Daphnia pulex: one gene and its partner. The protein of the gene in region 2 purifies or fractionates together with the protein of the main gene of each other region. This does not show direct contact. Links are inferred from orthologs where the notes say so. Each region holds a gene or a part of one and is shown on either strand. Other genes may lie near its edges.

Evidence for each region. The genes of interacting proteins can lie anywhere in the genome.
Region 1: the proteins of probable N-acetyltransferase san (region 2) and N-alpha-acetyltransferase 15, NatA auxiliary subunit-like purify together in Drosophila melanogaster (affinity purification with mass spectrometry, with the first as the bait; 3 studies listed by BioGRID). This does not show direct contact. The link is inferred for Daphnia pulex from reciprocal best matches to the Drosophila melanogaster genes san and Naa15-16.

Annotation. Positions count from the first base shown.
Region 1 is NC_060019.1:10,600,640-10,604,961, forward strand, and holds the start of N-alpha-acetyltransferase 15, NatA auxiliary subunit-like, read right to left. Parts: upstream 2,847-4,322; 5' UTR 2,710-2,846; intron 2,092-2,709; 5' UTR 1,852-2,091; coding exon 1,795-1,851; intron 1,718-1,794; coding exon 1,633-1,717; intron 1,561-1,632; coding exon 1,298-1,560; intron 1,234-1,297; coding exon 1,099-1,233; intron 1,031-1,098; coding exon 883-1,030; intron 804-882; coding exon 408-803; intron 342-407; coding exon 166-341; intron 108-165; coding exon 1-107.
Region 2 is NC_060018.1:2,102,586-2,105,481, reverse strand, and holds probable N-acetyltransferase san, read left to right. Parts: upstream 1-1,359; 5' UTR 1,360-1,499; coding exon 1,500-1,507; intron 1,508-1,681; coding exon 1,682-1,818; intron 1,819-1,878; coding exon 1,879-2,065; intron 2,066-2,127; coding exon 2,128-2,293; 3' UTR 2,294-2,349; downstream 2,350-2,896. Other genes in the region: meiotic nuclear division protein 1 homolog, read right to left, coding at 302-436, 497-643, 723-1,058; retinol dehydrogenase 12-like, read right to left, coding at 2,376-2,546, 2,606-2,689, 2,788-2,838. UniProt on the Drosophila melanogaster protein: N-alpha-acetyltransferase that acetylates the N-terminus of proteins that retain their initiating methionine. Has a broad substrate specificity: able to acetylate the initiator methionine of most peptides.

The DNA of each region.
Region 1 (4,322 bases), on a different chromosome or scaffold from region 2:
GCCCGCAACATATATTTTGCGCACTTTGAATTGATATACCGATCGGCAGTGTCTAAAGACTGGGCTTCATCTAAGCAGCGGTAAGCTTCGATAGGGTTTCCAGCATGCTATGATAGTAAATGATATTTAATTCAACTAAAAGAAAAAAAGAATGGCAAGTCTAACCTTAAACAGTCGTCCTTTCGTCACATAGAGCTCGATCAACGTCGGAGTGTGATCAATGGCCAAATTAATATAATGCAACGCTTTGGCGGAATCCTTATGAAAATCGTAGTGCTGGGCTAGATAATAGTAAGTCCATAAAATAGCTGATGCCGGTTCTGCTGGACCATCCTTCACATCTAAAATCAAGTTAATTCAACATTACCTATAAGAATTCAACAAAGAATCGAAAATAGTAGACAAACCTTTTTCGTCGAATCGTTCACATTTAATTAAACTAGCTATGTAACCGAGTAAGAGCTCCTCGATAATGGCTGCTTTTCCTGGTTGGGCGTACAGCGAACGTAAATCGACAAATAGAGGAGGAGCGCCCTTGTGCAGTGCGTGACGTAGATATTGGTCTACCAAACTACGAAACTTTTCTCCACTGGCATAACTAAGTGGTATTCTTCGGGCCAAAATGGCTCGTGGATAAGACTCGCGAAGCTCGGCATACATTTGCAGCTTTATATCTTCATTGGTCAGTCCACGAGCTTCTTCTAATCCAAAGTAATACTGCCGGTTATCCGGATTGCGTTTTAGCAATTTACGGTATTCTTCTTCGGCATCTTTCTGGCGATCGAGCTTGAGGTAGAGTTGTGCTAAAAATCAAATATGAGACATTAATATATTGCCGGTCTGCTGTGTTGTTTGTTTTTATGGTTTCGATGAGCCACGTACCTCGAGCTTCCATTAAACTCAATTTATCACAAATTTGGTCTTCAAATTGTTGAAGGTGAGACAAAGATTTCTGATAAAGACCACCTTCAAACATAACCTGATGCATGTAGAGTAAAAGCTCACTCTGCTCATAGTCATAGCTGGATTTCTATATTGAGAAAAAAATTAATAATAACATGATTTGAATGTGTTATGAATTGACTCAAGGGTATTCACGGTAAGAGTTTTTCTGAAATCGTCTAAAACTTGGAGAGCATTGTCATAATCGTGAAGTAGATGGTAAGCCATGGCAAATCCAATCCAAGAAGCTCGTTGGCCAGGTCGTAGCCTCAATAGAGAATACCTTGTATCCTTTCAAAATTCACAAGTAACAAACATAAAAATAGGGATTATAGTTAAATTACTGATTACTTACTCTATATCCTTCAAGATCACGCATCTGGATCTGAAGTAGTGACAAGTCTCTTAGAATTTGAACATTGTCCTTATCCCATTTCAATGCATTCCTGTAGCATTTGATTGCTTCATCGTATTTTTTATCTGATCTCTGTAATAGCCCATACACATGCCAACAGACATGAGACATGAGATCATTACGGAGACCTCTACGAACATGTTCATAAGCCTCTTCCTTTCTTCCCATACAATTGAGAGTCAAACCTTTCATTGAGAGGGTTTCTAAACAGAAAAATTGTTAATAAATAATAAGAATACATAAACATAAAGTAAATGAATAGCTCCAGAGTGTACCTCCATGTTCAGCAAACTTTGGATTGCTGAGAATCTGTTTGGCAAACTTAAGTCCATTTTTATACTGCTTTTGTTCGTAACTTTTCTGTAAATCACAATATTTCGAACGATTAATTGGGGCTTGCACAACATATTTTTTTTTTCTCCAAATAAACACCCTACCAGAATTCTTTTAAACAGGGCATTTTCTTTGGGAGGTAGAGGCTGACTGGAAGGCATCTTTTTAATGAGGATGAATATCCTGTTCTCGCAGTGAAGTATCAAAATTTGTTTCCCAAAACCATTAAATGCCGGTTTCTTTTCAACCGATGATGACACAGGTTAACCGTGAAAAAGCCTCGTGCTTACTTCGCTAAAGATGGCCGAAATTGGTGAACCCCCTTCTTTCCGTCGCTCAACACCGTATTCCAGGATTCGGATGTATACACCGCGTTATTTGACAAATCAGAGTGATGTGTCCTAATATTTTAAGGAGAGACAAAATAAAAAAAAACTATAAATTATTATTGGGATATTATTTATCTCATTAGTGCATTTGTAAAATGAAATCAACAAAACAATATTCTATATCGATAATCGATACGGCAGCAGACGAAAACCATTCCACTTCATATGTTATTGTTGACTTGTCACTCACTTTTTCTCTGTCAAAATGTTCATTTCTATCATTTTTTCTTGATGAAATATTAATCCGTTCAAGTTCAACATTAACATAACATAACATGAACATCTTTTTGCTTGCTTAGAGTAACTACGAATTACTTGTCAAATAAAATTGCAATGGACATCATCCATTTTGAATGAGGACTTCATAGAGAAAGAATGTTGACAGAAGATTATTAAGAATCAAACAAGTCAACATCAGTCTTAAAGAAAGTACCCACTCACAATTAATAGGTGTCATTTACTACTGAAAAACAAACAAACATTTTATTAGTAAATTTCCCCCACATTGTACAGTCCCTTTCTATTGAACTGAGATGTTAATAAATAGTAATAGTATGATATAATACATACCATTAAATATCTAAAGCTTCTAGACAATATTAATCTATGAGAAATATTTTATAGGTGTACCTTAAAATCTTAAATACGTCGTTGGCGTTGTCCGTTAGCAATCGTTCGTTTGATAAGCACAACTGAAAACAATCATAATTTCTCAAATTAGTCAGCCGCCAGGTTTTACGTGTTTCAAACATAAAGTTCCCTAATTGAATGTTTATTATAACGGTTTTACCTTCACGGGTAAATTTTTTGTTGCTATCCTATACTCCAGAACGAAAATTGCCCGTAATTTCAAAATGAGCGGTAGATCTAATACCCTTTGGGGCAGAGCCTCAGGCAAAACACTTAAGTAAATGCTAAAAGGAAGGACAACATTAAGCTATTATTTACTGATTACTATTTCCAATCTGTCAAGCAACGCAATTTGCATTCAATTTAATTACGATTTAAAAAATGTATTCAATTCAACGATTATTTTGACTTTCTATTCCACTAACTAACAGCTTCCAGTAGACAAATATAAAAAAGAGAGAAGAAAATAAAAACAAACTTTTGTTGCACGGTTGGGATTTCCCATTTAGTTAAAGAAATCCCCTGAATTGTGGGAGGAGGGGAGTAATGGATTGTTTGTTTTTATCATCTGAAAAAAGTTCATAACAAGGACATATGTGAAAATTGTCACGGCTAAGGGCTCTATGTTTTACTTATAATATTAATTTGGTCCTTCCTACGATAAAAAAGAAAATGTTGACACCGCATTCGATGAGGACGATGCAGCACATAGAAGTTATTGATATTCTGATGGTCTGTTTTTCAATTTTTCGAAACGCTTTTTCAAAATATTTGTGCAAATCTATAAACAAAACGGGAAAAATATACAAAATAACGTTTTGAAGAAAAAATATCAAAACAAAGCATAACAGTGCGTACCTGAATCGTTACACCTGGTGGGCGTCCAACAACCACGAAACGAACACCACGGCTTTTGCCTCATGGGCGAGATTGGGAAAGCACATCATTTTGCCGCCTGTCAATCACAATCCAACCATAAAAGTAAATTTCTCGAGTAAATATAGGGTTGGTAGAATAAAATCAATTAAAGCAATCTAACGTGAGACACCCACGCAAATACCTTTAGGAAATGTAGTAGTGTACCCTATGTAGTACGCGTCGCTACCAGGTGAGAGAGAGAGAGTTATTATTGTTCTGCTCAACGAACTCTCTTGTTTATCGTTATTTTTCTTCAATCGAAAGTGCAACGAATACAAGCTGTTCTCGAATAAACTTGGAAAGTCAAACAAATTGGTTTTGTTATAGTTAGAAACTCATTTCTACAACGGCTGCAGAAACTTGATTGCTGGCTTTTTCGACCTGTCATTCAAGAAAAACAAAGAGAAAATCAAATGATGTAAGACAATTGTACGATGAGTATAAAAACAAAAGCGTACCCTGGCCAATTTCTGCTGGGGTTGCGAGTCACCGACAGGTAGAGGATTATCGGTTTGATTGTCTTGTTGATTTTCTGCTCGTTCCTGTTGATGTCTACGAATCCTGTTGTCTCTCATCCTGGGCAAACTTCTTGTTTTGCCTGTTTTGGCCGCCTTCTGTTTGTTCGGTCGCAATTATTTCAAACCCGCCGGTTCTAGAAGGGAAGTTAAAAAAGAAAATAAAGTCATTCCAGTCTA
Region 2 (2,896 bases):
ACGTTTCTCTAATCTGTTCATAGAAACTAAATAATACGCCGTGTTGTTATTAAAGTTTTTGGTAGACAATCAATGACCAAACAATAACACTGTTAATGAAAAAAAAAACGGAATTCTGTATTAAACGCACTTCAAAATTTGAAGTATTTTACACAGAAAACTATACATGTTAGGAAAATATCGTTGAAAGTATCCAGGTTCTTACAGAATTCAGTCAAGGACATGGGAAAGAGACAAGGAAGAATTCAAAAAGCTTTAAACAATGCTTCTAAATTATTTACAGAAAGCATTCTTGAGGCTTCTACAAATAGTCCAATTCTTCCGGAATTCCAAATGCTTTGTTTAATTGGTTATCTTCCATAAAAAACTTTGATTTGCACCAGGATTTGACGGCGAAAATATTATCTGTCCAACGGTTCGCAGCCTCCAAAGAAACCTGTGAGAGCAATTGCTATAATATACTATGAAAGAAACTGCCAACACAAGAAAGACTCACCTGAGATTCTGCTTTTAGTTTTTCAAGTTCATCAGGATCAAGTTCTTGGTATTCAATCAGACTTCTTTTCAATTCAGCGTTTTGTACTTGTGCTTCCTTTAACTTTTGTAATAATTCGTCTTTTGTATCATCATCCTGTTGTCCAACCTAAATTACGACAGTCAGTTAAGTCTAAGTGCACAAAAACAAAAAAGATAGAAAATTATCTAATGACGCCTCAACTTACTCTTTTTTCTGCCAACTTTGCTTCAACATCAACTCTCAACTTCTTCAGTTGTTGACTAGAATTTTCCAGTTGCACTAGTTTCTGTTTTTTTGCATTGATTGCCTTACTAGGAAAGGCCCAGAAATAAATTGATGTGCCAATTTTGTCTGTATCAACCATTCCATCATCCACCAAACTTTGAATCACATCTTTTACTGTTCCTTGTACAATTCCTTTTTCTTTTGGGGCAATTTTTTCTAATTCTTTAAGCTGGAAGAAGTCTTTCTTTTCATAAAAAATTTCCATCATGCCTTTACGTTTCTCCTCCAGGCTAAGTCCACGTTTTTTGGATGTCATTTTAATGTCAATATTTTAACTGTTTGACTTAATAGCTTCTTTTCCTCAAATTTATATTGTAATAAGACGAGACGACACGTTTTCTTGACGTTTAACTACTACTCTTTAACCAAGTGAATTTTAACTGAGAAATTCAAAAAATCTTGTGACGTTGCCAGTTGAGCCACCTTGAGAGGCATTCACAGATAATGCAATTTTTTTAAGTTTGATTCGTACGGACTTCGTATGGATTTTTTTTTATTTTTTCGATTCATTTTATTAGCAACGTGGAATTTTATTATTGAAACTGTGAATGATTGCAAATATTGTTTATGAAAATTTTGATCTGTCGATGTCGTCGCCGCACCATGGGTTTTTTCGGTTTCGAGTTCTGTCTGCTGTAAATTTCCGAAATCACATCGATCAAAACGTGAGCCCCCTTGAAATTTGACTGGAACAAAAATGACCAGGTAAATAAACTGAATGTTTTTGGGGAAGTAATTGGTAAAGCATTCCACACAGTGTTTTTAAAAACAAACTCTATTATAGCTTACCTTAAAGTCTTAACAAGCTGTATGTGTGACTGCCACTGAATATCCCGTTTTGCATGCCGATGACAATTACAAAGGATTATTTTATTTCAGGGCAACAATAGAACTGGGGGATGTCACACCTCACAACCTACAACAACTGAAACGATTGAATCAAGTGGTATTTCCAGTTTCCTACAACGACAAGTTCTATAAAGATATTCTAGAAGCAGGAGAATTGGCTAAGCTAGGTACCACATACTTGATTTTCCTTTTATTTCTCCTTACATTTATCACATTTTATTGTGCAGCATACTATAATGACATTGTGGTGGGAGCTGTATGCTGTAGGATCGATATTTTAGATGGATCAAGAAGATTGTACATCATGACCCTGGGATGCCTAGCTCCATACAGGAAAAGGGGTATTGGTGCCAAAATGTTGGAACATGTCCTAAACTACGTGGAAAAGGATGGGGATTTTCATAGCATTTTTCTGTAATTATATTTTATTATTGAGAAAAAAAAATATGTTTTTAAGACTTAACTTTTCAAAACAGCCATGTTCAAGTTAACAACCAAAGTGCAATTGACTTCTACAAGAAATTTGGCTTTGAAATTGTTGAAACAAAAGAACAATACTACAAGAGAATTGAGCCAGCTGATGCACATGTGCTGATGAAACTTTTAAGGCCACAAAGAAGTCTTAGTGAACCAGAAAAATGAATTATGATAGGTTAAGCTAAGGTAACTGATAATACAGAAATGATCATGTCACTTTACTAATAATTGTATTGAACTGAAATTACTACCATTCAATCTTACACATTTTACAGCTTAGCTCCCATAATTTGTTAATGATTGTGGAATTTGAGCTAGCTTTAAGTTGACTTTGATAAACCTTGCAGTCACGATAAAAAAGTCCCGTTTCATTTTCCGTTTCCTCTGATACTGCACAGTGGATCAGAGTTTGAACGCCCTAGTAACAATTCAATTTTAGGTATGTTTAACAATATTCTGTCGGCATGAAGTACTTACAATTCGAGCAGGCTTCATAAACCAAAATGCAATCGGTATAATGGCTATCCATGAATAAAATGGTACTGATGAATAGCGGAAAAGCTGTTTGGATTGCAAATTTTCATTATTAGACGTTTAGACGGTGTACGCAAATTTAAGCAATTATTTTGCATGTAACAAATAATAAAATCAGAACTTGCCTTAGTATAATTCCACCCTGGGCAAACCGTATAAACATTTACTCCGTGATTCTGTAATATGCAACAAAGTTAAATTTTGTTTAATTCTTATTAGTGTATGAACCAGAAA